Saccharomyces cerevisiae S288C: one gene and its partners. The protein of the gene in region 1 interacts with the protein of each later gene in a biochemical or structural test. Each region holds a gene or a part of one and is shown in the gene's direction. Other genes may lie near its edges.

What was found.
Region 2: the proteins of RFA2 (region 1) and RFA3 form a complex in vitro, tested with the Saccharomyces cerevisiae proteins (3 studies listed by BioGRID).
Region 3: of the proteins of RFA2 (region 1) and MEC1, one has a biochemical effect on the other in vitro, tested with the Saccharomyces cerevisiae proteins (6 studies listed by BioGRID).

Annotation. Positions count from the first base shown.
Region 1 is NC_001146.8:45,331-49,716, forward strand, and holds RFA2 (Rfa2p), read left to right. Parts: upstream 1-2,956; coding exon 2,957-2,963; intron 2,964-3,071; coding exon 3,072-3,886; downstream 3,887-4,386. Other genes in the region: tetratricopeptide repeat-containing protein EMW1, read right to left, coding at 1-2,692; putative SCF ubiquitin ligase complex subunit SKP2, read right to left, coding at 4,067-4,386. UniProt on the Saccharomyces cerevisiae protein: Binds to single-stranded sequences participating in DNA replication in addition to those mediating transcriptional repression (URS1) and activation (CAR1). Stimulates the activity of a cognate strand exchange protein (SEP1).
Region 2 is NC_001142.9:94,512-98,233, reverse strand, and holds RFA3 (Rfa3p), read left to right. Parts: upstream 1-1,704; coding exon 1,705-2,073; downstream 2,074-3,722. Other genes in the region: CPS1 (Gly-Xaa carboxypeptidase), read right to left, coding at 1-497; KRE9 (Kre9p), read right to left, coding at 2,312-3,142; SWI3 (Swi3p), read left to right, coding at 3,704-3,722. UniProt on the Saccharomyces cerevisiae protein: As part of the replication protein A (RPA/RP-A), a single-stranded DNA-binding heterotrimeric complex, may play an essential role in DNA replication, recombination and repair.
Region 3 is NC_001134.8:504,167-512,816, forward strand, and holds MEC1 (protein kinase MEC1), read left to right. Parts: upstream 1-1,501; coding exon 1,502-8,608; downstream 8,609-8,650. Other genes in the region: HSL7 (protein arginine N-methyltransferase), read right to left, coding at 1-121; cyclin-dependent protein kinase regulatory subunit CKS1, read left to right, coding at 688-1,140. UniProt on the Saccharomyces cerevisiae protein: Serine/threonine protein kinase which activates checkpoint signaling upon genotoxic stresses such as ionizing radiation (IR), ultraviolet light (UV), or DNA replication stalling, thereby acting as a DNA damage sensor.

The DNA of each region.
Region 1 (4,386 bases):
CTAGCCTATCCCAACCAGGAGAGTCATCCCATCTGCCTTTGCCTTTACTCATTAGAGCTTTGATAGTAGATCTACATTTGTATTTCCAGTCTTTGCAAACCAGACTGCCTGGCCCATATTTACCTTCCATTTCACCAAGTGATTCATAGGCAGCCACCAAATCTTCACAAGCATCCACTGTATCATTCCAAACCTTTTCTTCAACTTCTAAATCAGGATTGTGAGAAATGGCCCTATAAGCCTTCTCGTGGCATTCTAGGGCGGCCCATGGTCTCTTCCTCCAAAGTTCTACTCTTGCGACCAGTCGCCAACATCTTGCACTGGTTGTAATTACCTGAGGTAAAGTGTTACAGATAAACTCAGTACAGCTCTTTTGAAAATAAGATAATTGCTGCGGCTCCTCTGGATATTCACTAGTCACTAATAGTTCTACTAGTTTTTCAATAATTGGTAAGTCGATGGAACCTTCGCCAGATTTGTCCCTCCTAATACTGACTAATTGTTTACATGCAGTTAAGACATCCTCCCACTCATTCAACTTAACAGCAACAAGCATGTAATTCTCCCAAATTTTCCAGTTCTTTTGAGCGTCACATGAAATGGCTCTTTTCAAACAACTATAAGCTTCTTTCAATTTATCCATTTTCGTATATGCAGCGCTCAAATTTGACCATGAAAGAGCATGATAAGGGTCTAATGAAACACATCTGGTAAATGCCTCCGCAGCTATCTGCATTTTACCACATTGTAATCCAACGCAACCATAAAAATACCACGTTTCAAAGCTTAATGGGTATTGCCTTAACGAGTCATTTAAATGTTTCAAGGTAGCAGAGTAATTTGGTTGTGCTCCAGACTTTGGAGGAGGATTAAAGTAATACTTTGCAAGGGAATTTTTTGCGTTGACGTATTTTCCAATCTCCCAACTTTTTTCCCATAGGGATGGATCCTGTTTTATATCACCCAAAATGGAGTAAGCCCTGGCATCCGAATCATTTTCATTTATTCTTTGAAGAAGGATTTCTTCTGCCTTTTTTTCATCTCCAACAGCGGCATAACATAATGCAGTCTCGCATGCCATACCAAGTCTTTCATAAATTTCCACAGCGGACTTCAAAATACCCAGCGACATATATTTTTCAGCTAAGGTGGCATCCAATTGCCACCTAGGGATGAACGGCAGCTGGTGGATGTATGACAGCCTGCTAGCAACATTGATTTCGCTTGAACTTGGAACCAATTTACTCTTAATCTTCAAATCCAATTCTTCTACGAGGGATTGCATTTGTAAAAGTCCTCTTTCAATAGTTTTAGCCTTTGTTGTCTCAATAATTGACCTTTCCCATAATGATCGGGCGAAAATAGACCAATTTTTGTCACCGTTTTGATATAATATTCTAGAAAGCAAAGCAGTAAGTTCTTCTTCCACAAGAGGATCCTTGGCCGGAGTTGTGTTCTTTATGGTGTAAAGACGTAACAGCAACTGGATGTTGTCGTAATCAGATAGGGTAGGTTGATCGTTAGGGTTCAAATCCAGCAACAACTTTGGAATATTTTCTTGACGTAGTGCCAATGGCAATAGTTTATCTTCTTCATAACCTTCATTTAGGTCTACCTTTTGTCTTTTACTATAAATTTGCTCGTCTAGAGGTTCATCAGCAATGGACTCAAAATGAGGCTTCTCCAATAATAGATCGGACTCTAAAGCAAATGTTTCTGGTGTAGCAGATGTCGTTCTCAAAGCAAAATTTTGAAATGTGAAGGATTTGGCAAGAATGATCAAACCGGCATGAGCCTTTTGCTGATATTTAGTTCTAGTAGCGCGTGCACCCGTCATTACAAATTCAAAATTTGTTATCTTTTTCGCTCTGGTCAAGGATGGCAGGCACAAATGTTCTGTGTTGATGGCCAATGAACATTTGACATTCTCTAGATAGTACATTGCACAAAGTTCTCTTTTGAAATCTTCGTGAATACTCTCCGGTAATTCCTTAGTTATCGCATATGCAAGGTCAGCAGACTGATATATTGCAGATGCAACACTAGCTTGGAACCCAGAAGGTTCTGGAATCAGTGACAATTGCGTCAAAAGAGCTCTTGCCCACCACCAATAAGCTACAGCTAATAATCCAGGAGTAGACTCAGCAGAGATAATAGGTAGCGGAATTTCTTGATCCGGGGTAACATCAAATAAGCTTTTTTGGCCGGTTATCCTTTCAAGTAATAATAGTGATAAAACCAAATACAATGGATCATCCATAAATTCGTAGGCAGGCTGGCCCATAATGGCTAATGAGCGGGAAAGGGCTGTATTAACTGCTCCTATTTCAATTCCAGTTTTGCCAAACAAACCTGAGATTGCTTTCAACCTAGCTGCTGGGCCGGTGTAGTTATTTTGAATAAAGGTCTGTAAGAGGGCAATAGCCAAAAATAGCATCTCATTTTCTTGGCCCATTTTGAAAACCTCAACGTTAAGAAAGTCATTTAGAGCAGCAATAACACTAGATGTGGATATTTCTCCCGAAATACTAATTTTTCCCTTAAATTTGTCCACAAATTGCTGTACTAGCTGGTATGATTCACCACTGATGATATGTTCAGCCTTTTTCACATATGTCTGGTCGAAAGAACCACTTTTCAGAGATTCTACTTCTGCAGACAGCAATAATTTTGCATGCAATAACGTCTCCATAATTTTGCAACCACTAGTTTACTTTTTGCCTGGTCTGATAGCTTCTTTTTAGCAATTCCTTTGGCCTCGATGAGCTTCCATTTTCAATTTTCATCTTTTTTTTCACGATGCGAAGTTTCTTAGATAATTATCGCCATATACGAAACGCGTTAGGAAACGCGTTCTTTCCTTTATAATAAGCAATATTATATCAACTTAAGGTGGAAGTAATGTGGCAAAATCGATAGCGACTATCTAGAACAGGCTAGTTTAAGCATATACATAATGGCAAGTATGTATTAGTGCTAGGAATTGGAGGATTTGCTCTTTTCTGCATCATTTTTTTTATTTTTATTGGCGAATGTTAAAATTACTAACAATGGATGGGATTCCAATACAGCCTATCAACCATATAACGAATATTCATCAGTAACGGGCGGTGGCTTTGAGAACTCTGAGTCCCGCCCAGGTAGTGGGGAGTCGGAAACTAACACTAGAGTTAACACCTTGACACCTGTGACGATCAAACAAATTCTAGAGTCCAAACAGGATATTCAGGACGGCCCCTTCGTTTCGCATAACCAAGAACTTCATCACGTTTGTTTTGTAGGTGTGGTGAGAAACATTACAGACCATACTGCAAATATTTTTTTAACTATTGAGGATGGAACTGGTCAAATAGAAGTGAGAAAATGGAGCGAAGATGCAAATGACTTGGCTGCCGGTAACGATGACTCTTCTGGTAAAGGTTATGGTTCGCAAGTCGCCCAACAATTTGAAATTGGCGGTTACGTAAAAGTTTTTGGTGCTTTGAAAGAGTTTGGTGGTAAGAAAAATATACAGTATGCGGTGATTAAGCCCATAGATTCATTCAATGAAGTGTTGACGCATCACTTGGAAGTCATCAAATGTCATTCCATAGCCAGTGGAATGATGAAACAACCTTTGGAGAGTGCATCCAACAACAATGGGCAATCATTATTTGTCAAGGATGATAACGATACATCTTCCGGCTCCAGTCCGTTACAAAGAATTCTAGAATTTTGTAAGAAGCAATGTGAGGGCAAAGACGCTAATTCATTCGCTGTTCCCATTCCATTGATCTCGCAATCCTTGAATTTGGATGAAACTACCGTCAGAAACTGCTGTACGACCTTGACTGACCAGGGTTTTATCTACCCAACTTTTGATGACAATAACTTCTTTGCCCTATGAAAATATATAGATTATTTTTTTAGCATTTCTTAGTATTCGTTTGTGTATTTCTACTAGGTAAGTACCAAAATTTGCCGGAAATAGAGTGGAAAATGGAACCCGTTCCAAGAAGGGGTAAGATGCATGAATATTAAGTTGGTTGCATAAATATGCTATATAAAGTCCACTACAAAAAGTCATTTATTTTTGCCCGTAAGAATAAAGAACGAATCCGTCCTTATCTCTGACTTCAATGGGAACATTTACACGCAGTACGGGCTTCAATAATAGTTCCCAGTCGTATCTGGTTCTAGGTGTACATAATGAAAAATGTCTCAGCATTCTTATTTTGACAGCTTTGAATTTTGACAAATTTCTCAGGAAACACCAGAGGTTAATATTTGGAATATCTTTAAAATTCTCTGGATCTTGGAAATCATTGAAAAAATTTTCCAATGTCACATTTTGTAAGAACTCCTCCACATCTAAATCTCTATATTCGATGGTTCGGTTCTTCAATT
Region 2 (3,722 bases), on another chromosome or scaffold:
ATTAACAATAATGGTTTTAGATCAGGATCAGAACCTTCCCATGTGTATAGAAGACCCAGCTCATTGACTTTCTCCAATTTCAAATGCTTGTGAATATTAGGGAAAGTCTTCTCAAAATAGTCGTGTAGTTCATAAAAATGCTTATAGAAATCCGGATCATCTGCGGGGTTGGGGTTTTTGTCTTGGACTACAGTGGGGATTCTAACAGCATTGGACAGTTTCTCAATGGAGCTGTTTCTAAAGGCAGGGTCATGAAGAATTGTGTCGACGGAATGTTTGAATGATGGACTTAATGGTTCAATCTTCTCACATTTGGGTGAGTGCATGGGACCTTTTCCATGGTGTGGACGCTTTGCCTCATGAGGTGGTGCTGGGTGGAGACCCGAAGTGAGGAAGAAGGTGCCGATGATAATAAGGGCAACTATTCCACTAATAAAGGCTCTGTGCCTTTGCCATAGGGACTTTCTAGGGGCCTTCTCTACTGGTAAGGCGATCATAATGTAATTGTTAGATGAATGATTCCTTAATGTGATGATGCAGGATTAGTTTTACAATGGGAAGAGACGTATTTGGGGTACCCGTTTCTTTTATATGTCATAAACTTTCTTGCCCGACCTTGGAAGGCTGTATCGTATTTTGCCCAAAGGGGAAAATAAAAGGCCGCTATGATAAGATAAGGGTGGCGAGGCTGAGATAACAAGAAGATGTTCTGAGCATTGAGCATTTAGGATAACAGTGCACAAGATCACGCGGTTCAATTCGTCACGTAAAGCTACTAGAAGTGGGTGTTTCTAGTAGCCTGCAAAAAGCGTCGTTCTAAAGAAACTTTTTTCAATGACACATTTACTGAAAATAGAAAAAGACTATCTATTCGTAGCTGATTTTCAAAATCCGTATGGGAAATCAGAGGTTATGGAACTGACAACGTCGTAGGAACAAGCGATATGCAAATCCCGGTGTCGCTTTGTTTGTGTATCGCTAAAAGCTTATATGCAATACTCGCGAAGGTACTATAATCCCTTGGACTAGGTCATCCCAATTCTTTGTCTTTATCAGTAAACTCTTATCTTACCTTTGGTCTCAAACTGGTATTTTATTTGCTGAATATTAACTACCACTAGGGATTACTCGTAAAATTATGAAAAAAGTACCATATGAACTCCAATAACGGTAAGTGATCAATAGGGAACAGCAAGTCTCTTCTTCTTTGCAACGTCAAGATTGATCCTATGCTTTCATAATTTCCCTACATGATGGCAGTCATACTCCAATTAAGTGCTACAAGAAAGAGGCCTTCGCAACAACTGTGTCAACGCTTGCAAGTGCTAAATTGTACTACAGCACCAGTGGTATCTCCTATAGTCAGTTACATAGTAAAATATTCAGAGGTCCATTACATAAATATATATATATATGTAGAGGCATCCATCCATGTTTGTCGATGCAGCTGCAAGCACCCAACAAGAACAGATGACAGCCAACAGTCGTTGACTAACGTAATGGGCCACTGCTGAGAAGCATCCACCGCCCATGCCATGGTTGGAATCATGACAAGTCGCCCTATATAATGCCTTCGTTCTTTAATATTGACGCGCCAAATGTGGCAATACGCGATATTTTTTTCGTTCGTGTTTAAATAAAGAGCAATATAACACACCCTTCACCATTCTTGTAGAACATCGTCTACCAGTAACACAAGTAAAAATGGCCAGCGAAACACCAAGAGTTGACCCCACAGAAATCTCCAACGTCAATGCTCCTGTGTTTAGGATAATAGCGCAAATCAAATCACAACCCACTGAATCTCAGTTGATTTTACAATCGCCAACCATATCATCGAAAAACGGCAGCGAGGTTGAAATGATTACGTTGAACAATATTCGTGTATCTATGAATAAAACATTTGAGATCGACTCGTGGTATGAGTTTGTTTGCAGGAACAATGATGACGGCGAGCTAGGATTTTTGATTCTAGACGCTGTACTATGCAAATTCAAGGAGAACGAAGATTTAAGCTTAAACGGTGTGGTTGCTTTACAGAGACTATGTAAGAAATACCCAGAAATATACTAGCTAAAATCGCTTTTATTCTTACCTTTATGTACTGTTGCCTCTATATGTCTTCCCTTCATATAATAAATTCCATTTCTAAAAAAATTGTAGTTGTGTTTATAGATGTATAGATAGATAAATGAATGTGTACTTGCTGCCTTAACGCCTTCCGCTAAAAACTTTTTGATATTTATTTTATTTTTAACCTTTCCTGACTTCAACCCTTACTGTAATGATGATAGTAGAAGCCGTCTATTTTTCATACTTTTCTCATGTTGATTTTCCTTGCAGACAAAGACAATCTCTTGGATGGTTTGTACCAACCACCATTATCTGAAGGCATAGATGCAGGAGTAGCGTAGTTTACTCCCGATGATATCGTATAAGACCAGCCAGGAGTTATCGTAGTTGCTTGCTCTGGCAATGACCCAAAGGTAGAGTAATATGTCACAGCACTAGTGGCAAATTTCCTTGTCCATGTGGTAGCGGTCACTTTAGTATTTGGCTGCATTTGCATTGGAGCGAAACGCGACGTACCAGTCTGCTTGGTGTACGGAACAGTAAATGAACGACTGTCAATAGTAGTGGCTTGGGCGTTGTTTGTAGTGGTTGTTTGAATAGAAGTCTGGGGAGTAGGTTCAGTTGTGGCACTATATGTATAAGCCGTAACACCGCCCATGGAAGTCAACTGGAATCTTGGTGTATAATGGATAGTGTAACCTTGACCGTCCACCTGGGCAAAAACTTGAATGTAATATTGACCGTTCCCAGTTAAGGTCGAAGCAAACTCAGCTGTGTAAGAGTAAACTTTATCATCTTGTGTTAGCTCACTTGGAGTAATTTTACTGGCAAGTACGGCCACACAGTCAATGTTGTTATTAGGACCAGTACAAAGACTGAACGTGAAAGTTGAAATCTTGCTTAACGAGGGATATGCCCCATTATCCATCCATTCAACGGGAACAGAGACAGTACCACCACTTGGACTGAATGTTGCCTTGGAGCTGGGGGAAACAATATTCACATCTCCCAGCACAAATGAGACTAAAAACACCAAAGCACATATGATGGAATTTCTTTGTAAACGCATTATCTATAATATGTCACAGTTGCTGATTCTCTGAGAAGGAAGTAAAAAGCGAAAGAGTAGATTCCTAGTAATCAAAACAAAGTGTGAACTGCCACTTTTAGCGCTTCTTGGAACTATCAAACTGGAGCAAATCTGGCTTCAAGAATGCTTTGAGACTCCTGTTCTATTCCTGTATTATCCTTGAAGATCTTTTTCGAGGAAAAAAAAAAAGAAATGTAAATAAAACACCTAATCGTCAAAAGTGATATTATATTGAACCGCCGTGGTTACGATGGAATAATGGTCAATACGCAGTTTAGATGGCATCCAACAATTCAGGATGGCCAATGATGTTATTTTAGTTTGAATTGATTACTTTTGAGCTAGTTTAAATTCGATTTAAGAGCCATTAAGTAGGCATCACGAATAACGAGGCCGGACGTTTGGCGTTTAGGCCATTGGCGAAAAGACGAAAACAAACTATATCAGATACGCAAGAGGAATGTGTAAAGGCCATGCAAGGCGCGATATATTGGTACATCGAGGCGCGTTCAGAGACCAATTGTGATACGGTTTGCAAGCATGGAGAATACACTGGGTG
Region 3 (8,650 bases), on another chromosome or scaffold:
AATCATAGTTACTAGGCAGTTCTGGTGAATGACTAGAGACATTTTCTAGGAAACGTGACTTTTTGCTGTGCTGTTTATGATTAAAGCCTGGTTTGACACCAACAAATACGTTGCTATGCATATGCAAACTGAACCCTTTGTATATATAAAAATTATATGTATAAAAGAAGAGGAACGTCCGCACAATTCCACACACACACACACACACACGCTTTCACACACGCAATTTGAAATAGCTCCTATAGGGCTTGGGAATAGGATCACAAGTCACTCGAAATATACCATTTTTTCTATCACACATACACATTGTATAAAGCCATTTGTTTCAAAAAAATATAAAAACACTGCGCAGCGTGCTGTTTCGGGTTCCATTTGTGATTGTTTATTTTTCTTTTGGTTTAGCTCAGTGCAAAACGAGGGCTCGAAGAATTTTCAGATAAAACAGTACTCGAGCCCTGAGATCTGTTTTAGGGTCTAAAAGGCGGGTTATAAAAATATGTCAGGTGATTTTTTTTTCTCGTGGTATGAGATAAATAAAGAATGGAGCTTTTATGCATGAAAGGACAGCGGATGGCAGTAGAGCAGACATCAGTAGCATTCATTACAACTCTGTCGTAAGTTCTTGGAACTGCTGGCCGCGTTGGATACAACTAGATTGACACGCACTTACTCTCGTCTTACAGTACTATGTACCATCACTATCACGCCTTCCAAGGCAGAAAGCTTACTGACCAAGAAAGAGCACGCGTGTTGGAGTTTCAAGATTCCATTCACTATTCTCCGCGGTACTCAGACGATAACTATGAGTACAGGCATGTGATGTTACCTAAGGCCATGCTAAAAGTTATCCCATCTGATTACTTCAATTCGGAAGTGGGGACCCTGCGTATATTAACAGAAGACGAATGGAGAGGCCTCGGCATCACACAGTCTTTGGGGTGGGAACATTATGAATGCCATGCGCCAGAACCACACATTTTGCTATTCAAAAGGCCGCTGAACTACGAGGCCGAGCTGAGGGCAGCGACCGCTGCTGCTCAACAGCAACAGCAACAGCAGCAACAGCAGCAACAACAACAACAGCAACATCAAACACAATCGATTTCGAACGATATGCAAGTTCCACCCCAAATCTCCTAGCTTTGATATACTCTAATTACTGAAATTGAATTCCTTTTCAAGGCTCCATAACTATATGGAGCATACTATGTACTTATCATAATAAAGAATAAACAAACAAGCAAACAAAAAAAAAAAAAACTATGGATCATAGTTTTCACCAACAAGCATTAGAATACAAATAAAATTTATATAGTGAATATCCTTCAAATAAATTTCTTCTTTCCCTTATAAATCAAATAGATGGAACGCACGCTCCAAAACTAGTCAACTAGAAAAAAATACCCGCCGACGGACAATTTTGAAGAGAGATGATTAATGAAGACAAAGTGAGGCTGGACAACAAGAACGACATACACCGCGTAAAGGCCCACAAGACTGCATGGAATCACACGTCAAATATCTTGACGAATTGATATTGGCAATAAAAGACCTGAACTCGGGGGTGGATTCAAAGGTGCAGATTAAAAAAGTGCCCACGGATCCATCTTCTTCTCAGGAGTACGCCAAGAGTTTAAAGATCCTGAACACCCTCATAAGAAACCTAAAAGATCAAAGAAGGAACAATATCATGAAAAATGATACTATATTTTCGAAAACAGTTTCCGCCCTTGCCTTATTGTTGGAGTACAACCCCTTCTTGCTTGTTATGAAGGATTCCAACGGGAACTTTGAGATACAAAGGCTGATAGATGATTTCCTCAACATATCCGTTCTGAACTATGATAATTACCACAGAATATGGTTTATGAGGCGAAAATTAGGCAGCTGGTGCAAAGCATGTGTCGAATTTTACGGAAAACCTGCTAAGTTTCAGCTTACTGCACATTTTGAGAACACCATGAATCTTTACGAACAGGCCTTGACTGAAGTCTTGTTGGGCAAGACTGAGCTTCTCAAATTTTATGACACCTTGAAGGGTCTATACATTCTTTTATACTGGTTCACTTCGGAGTATAGTACTTTTGGGAACTCTATAGCATTCTTAGATTCTTCTTTGGGGTTCACGAAATTTGACTTTAACTTCCAACGATTAATCAGGATTGTTCTTTACGTCTTTGATTCCTGCGAACTAGCAGCACTAGAATATGCCGAAATCCAACTCAAATATATTTCTCTAGTTGTGGACTATGTTTGCAATAGAACAATTTCCACAGCCCTGGATGCCCCAGCGTTAGTTTGTTGTGAACAATTAAAGTTTGTATTGACTACTATGCATCATTTTTTGGATAACAAGTATGGGCTCTTGGATAATGACCCCACTATGGCCAAAGGAATTCTTCGACTATATTCTCTTTGCATTTCTAACGATTTCTCAAAATGCTTTGTAGACCACTTCCCAATTGACCAGTGGGCAGATTTTTCACAAAGTGAACATTTTCCGTTCACGCAGTTGACTAATAAAGCTCTCTCGATTGTATATTTTGATTTGAAAAGAAGGTCCCTACCTGTTGAAGCTTTAAAGTACGATAATAAGTTCAACATCTGGGTATACCAATCGGAGCCGGACTCGAGCTTGAAAAATGTCACTTCTCCCTTTGATGATCGATATAAGCAGCTGGAAAAGCTAAGGTTGCTAGTACTAAAGAAGTTTAACAAGACAGAAAGAGGAACTTTGCTCAAATACCGCGTGAACCAGCTAAGTCCTGGATTTTTTCAAAGAGCTGGAAACGATTTCAAGCTAATTTTAAATGAAGCATCTGTATCCATTCAAACTTGTTTCAAGACAAACAATATAACAAGGCTAACATCATGGACTGTAATTCTCGGACGTCTAGCCTGTCTAGAATCAGAGAAGTTTTCCGGCACTCTGCCAAATTCCACAAAGGATATGGATAATTGGTATGTTTGTCATTTATGCGATATTGAGAAAACTGGCAACCCTTTCGTGCGAATAAATCCAAATAGACCAGAGGCTGCGGGTAAATCAGAAATCTTCAGGATACTTCATTCAAACTTTCTATCTCACCCAAATATAGATGAATTTAGCGAATCTTTGTTAAGTGGCATCTTATTTTCTCTACATAGGATATTTTCACACTTTCAACCTCCAAAACTTACAGATGGAAACGGTCAAATCAATAAGAGCTTTAAACTGGTACAAAAGTGCTTTATGAATTCTAACAGATACCTACGTTTATTAAGTACTAGAATTATACCTTTATTCAATATATCAGACTCTCATAATTCCGAAGATGAACACACTGCCACGCTGATAAAGTTTCTACAATCTCAAAAATTGCCAGTGGTGAAAGAAAATTTAGTCATTGCTTGGACACAATTAACATTGACGACTTCTAATGATGTATTTGATACACTACTTTTGAAACTGATTGATATTTTCAATTCTGATGATTATAGTTTACGAATAATGATGACTTTGCAAATTAAAAATATGGCCAAAATTTTAAAGAAAACACCATATCAATTACTATCGCCTATTTTACCTGTATTACTAAGACAGTTGGGAAAAAACCTCGTGGAAAGAAAAGTTGGCTTTCAAAATTTAATAGAATTATTGGGATATTCTTCAAAAACAATTCTCGATATTTTCCAGAGATATATCATCCCTTATGCAATTATTCAATATAAGAGCGATGTGCTAAGTGAAATTGCTAAGATTATGTGTGATGGCGATACAAGTTTAATTAACCAAATGAAGGTTAATTTACTGAAAAAAAACAGTAGGCAAATATTTGCCGTAGCTTTGGTAAAACACGGATTATTTTCTTTGGATATCTTGGAAACCCTTTTTTTAAATAGGGCTCCAACTTTTGACAAAGGATATATAACTGCATACCTTCCCGATTATAAAACTTTAGCTGAAATAACGAAGCTCTACAAAAACAGCGTTACTAAAGATGCAAGTGACAGCGAGAATGCTAATATGATTTTATGCTCTTTGCGATTTTTAATCACCAATTTTGAAAAAGACAAAAGGCATGGTTCGAAGTACAAAAATATCAATAACTGGACGGATGATCAGGAACAAGCGTTCCAAAAGAAACTACAGGATAATATCTTAGGTATTTTCCAAGTTTTTTCGAGTGACATACATGATGTTGAAGGCCGCACCACTTACTACGAAAAGTTAAGGGTTATCAATGGCATTTCTTTTCTTATCATATATGCCCCCAAAAAATCAATAATTTCCGCATTAGCCCAGATTAGTATTTGTTTGCAAACAGGACTTGGGCTTAAGGAAGTTCGATACGAGGCCTTTAGATGTTGGCATCTGTTAGTTCGCCATCTAAATGATGAAGAACTCTCTACTGTTATAGATAGCTTAATTGCATTCATACTTCAAAAGTGGTCTGAGTTCAACGGAAAACTTCGAAATATAGTGTACAGTATACTGGATACCTTAATCAAAGAGAAATCGGACCTGATTTTGAAATTAAAACCTTACACTACTTTGGCTTTAGTAGGCAAGCCTGAATTAGGTATTTTAGCTCGTGATGGCCAATTTGCAAGAATGGTGAATAAAATAAGAAGTACCACGGACCTTATACCCATATTTGCTAATAACTTGAAAAGTAGTAACAAGTATGTCATAAACCAAAATTTAGACGATATAGAGGTATATCTTCGGAGAAAGCAGACAGAAAGATCGATTGATTTTACACCAAAGAAGGTTGGGCAAACTTCTGATATAACATTAGTTTTGGGTGCTTTATTAGACACTTCTCATAAGTTTAGAAATTTAGACAAGGACCTATGCGAGAAGTGCGCCAAATGTATCAGTATGATTGGTGTTTTAGACGTTACAAAGCATGAGTTTAAAAGAACAACATATTCAGAAAACGAAGTTTATGATTTGAATGATAGTGTTCAAACTATTAAGTTCTTGATATGGGTCATAAATGATATCCTCGTTCCTGCGTTTTGGCAAAGTGAGAATCCCAGCAAGCAATTGTTTGTTGCCCTTGTCATACAGGAATCATTAAAATATTGCGGGCTAAGTTCAGAGTCATGGGATATGAACCATAAAGAATTATATCCAAATGAAGCCAAACTATGGGAAAAGTTTAACTCTGTCTCCAAGACAACCATCTATCCGCTTTTATCTTCCTTGTATCTTGCGCAATCATGGAAAGAATATGTCCCGCTAAAATATCCTTCTAATAACTTCAAGGAAGGATACAAAATTTGGGTGAAAAGGTTTACATTGGATTTATTGAAAACAGGTACAACAGAAAATCATCCATTACACGTGTTTTCCTCTTTGATTAGGGAAGATGATGGCTCACTATCAAATTTTTTGCTACCTTATATTTCTCTGGACATTATTATCAAGGCAGAAAAAGGAACTCCATACGCTGATATTTTAAACGGGATTATTATTGAATTTGACAGCATTTTCACGTGCAATCTGGAAGGAATGAATAACTTGCAAGTGGATTCGTTAAGAATGTGCTATGAATCCATCTTCAGAGTTTTCGAATATTGCAAAAAATGGGCAACTGAGTTTAAACAAAATTACAGTAAACTACACGGCACTTTTATCATTAAAGATACGAAAACAACTAACATGCTTTTGAGAATAGATGAGTTTTTGCGAACAACCCCTTCAGATTTGCTAGCTCAACGCTCCTTAGAGACGGATTCTTTTGAAAGGTCTGCTCTATACCTTGAACAGTGCTATCGACAGAATCCTCACGATAAGAACCAAAATGGACAACTACTGAAAAATTTACAAATCACATACGAAGAAATAGGAGACATTGACTCACTCGATGGTGTACTGAGAACCTTTGCTACAGGAAACTTGGTTTCTAAAATTGAAGAATTGCAATATTCTGAAAACTGGAAACTCGCACAAGACTGCTTTAATGTCCTCGGCAAATTTTCAGATGACCCCAAAACTACAACCAGGATGCTAAAGTCTATGTATGACCACCAATTGTATTCTCAAATAATATCGAACTCTTCGTTCCATTCTTCAGACGGAAAAATTTCTTTGTCTCCAGATGTGAAGGAATGGTACAGCATAGGTCTTGAAGCTGCAAATCTAGAAGGCAATGTTCAAACTTTGAAAAATTGGGTAGAACAAATAGAGAGTTTAAGAAATATTGACGATAGAGAAGTACTTTTGCAGTACAATATTGCGAAAGCTTTAATTGCCATCTCAAACGAGGATCCATTAAGGACTCAAAAATACATCCACAATTCCTTTAGGCTTATCGGAACAAATTTTATAACGTCATCTAAAGAGACGACGCTGCTAAAGAAACAGAATTTATTGATGAAATTACACAGTTTATATGACCTCAGTTTTTTATCTTCTGCGAAAGATAAGTTTGAATACAAAAGTAACACTACCATACTCGATTATCGAATGGAACGTATTGGGGCTGACTTCGTGCCAAATCATTACATATTGTCAATGAGAAAGTCATTTGACCAATTGAAAATGAATGAACAAGCAGACGCTGACTTAGGAAAAACATTCTTCACTTTAGCCCAATTGGCGAGAAACAACGCTAGGCTAGATATAGCCTCCGAATCATTAATGCATTGTTTGGAAAGGCGGTTGCCTCAGGCAGAGTTGGAGTTTGCTGAAATACTATGGAAGCAAGGTGAGAATGATAGAGCCTTAAAGATAGTGCAAGAAATACATGAAAAGTATCAAGAAAATTCCTCGGTTAATGCTCGCGATCGTGCCGCCGTGCTATTAAAGTTTACTGAATGGTTAGACCTTTCGAACAATTCAGCGTCCGAACAAATTATTAAACAATATCAGGATATTTTTCAGATTGATTCTAAATGGGATAAACCATATTACTCTATTGGCTTATACTATAGTAGACTACTTGAGCGCAAAAAAGCAGAGGGTTATATTACTAATGGTCGTTTTGAGTACAGGGCAATATCTTACTTTTTATTGGCATTTGAAAAGAACACTGCTAAAGTAAGAGAAAATTTGCCCAAAGTTATCACGTTTTGGCTAGATATTGCGGCCGCATCAATTTCTGAAGCTCCTGGAAACAGAAAGGAAATGCTGAGTAAGGCTACGGAAGATATATGTAGTCATGTTGAAGAAGCGCTGCAGCATTGTCCCACTTATATTTGGTACTTTGTTTTGACTCAGTTGTTATCTAGGTTATTACATTCTCATCAATCATCGGCCCAGATAATAATGCACATACTGCTAAGTTTGGCTGTTGAATACCCCTCTCATATTTTATGGTATATCACAGCCCTTGTAAATTCCAATTCTTCAAAAAGAGTTCTTCGTGGTAAGCATATTTTAGAAAAGTATAGACAACATTCGCAAAATCCTCATGATCTAGTTTCTAGTGCATTGGATTTAACGAAAGCATTAACTCGTGTCTGTTTGCAAGATGTCAAAAGCATTACAAGTAGATCAGGCAAATCTTTAGAAAAAGACTTCAAATTTGACATGAACGTGGCCCCATCTGCAATGGTTGTTCCAGTAAGAAAAAATTTAGACATCATTTCACCACTAGAGTCTAACTCAATGAGGGGCTATCAACCATTTAGGCCGGTTGTTTCTATAATTAGATTCGGATCATCTTATAAAGTGTTTTCTTCATTAAAGAAGCCAAAACAATTGAACATAATAGGTTCAGATGGCAACATTTATGGGATCATGTGTAAGAAGGAAGATGTCCGACAAGATAACCAATATATGCAGTTCGCCACAACAATGGATTTTCTTCTGAGTAAGGACATAGCTTCAAGAAAAAGAAGCCTGGGCATAAATATTTACTCCGTACTATCTCTTCGAGAAGACTGTGGGATATTGGAAATGGTACCGAATGTTGTAACTTTAAGATCTATTCTTTCTACAAAGTACGAAAGTCTGAAAATTAAGTATAGCCTGAAAAGTCTACATGATAGGTGGCAGCACACCGCAGTAGATGGAAAACTCGAGTTTTACATGGAACAGGTAGATAAATTTCCTCCAATCTTGTACCAATGGTTTTTAGAAAACTTTCCTGATCCAATCAATTGGTTCAACGCCAGGAATACGTATGCCAGATCTTACGCCGTCATGGCAATGGTTGGCCATATATTAGGTCTAGGTGATAGGCACTGTGAAAACATATTACTAGATATACAGACGGGTAAAGTTCTTCATGTAGACTTCGACTGTTTATTTGAGAAAGGCAAAAGGTTACCTGTCCCAGAAATTGTTCCCTTCAGACTAACACCAAATTTATTGGATGCGTTGGGCATAATTGGGACAGAAGGAACATTTAAGAAGTCTAGTGAAGTCACGTTGGCTTTAATGAGAAAAAATGAAGTAGCGTTGATGAATGTGATCGAAACAATTATGTACGATAGAAACATGGACCACTCAATTCAAAAAGCGCTAAAGGTCTTAAGAAACAAAATCCGCGGTATAGATCCGCAGGATGGCCTGGTATTGAGTGTTGCTGGCCAAACAGAAACATTGATCCAAGAAGCAACATCAGAAGACAATCTAAGCAAGATGTATATTGGTTGGCTTCCATTTTGGTAACGACTTTCCACCATTTTCGGCAACAGACGAACTTCCTCTTGA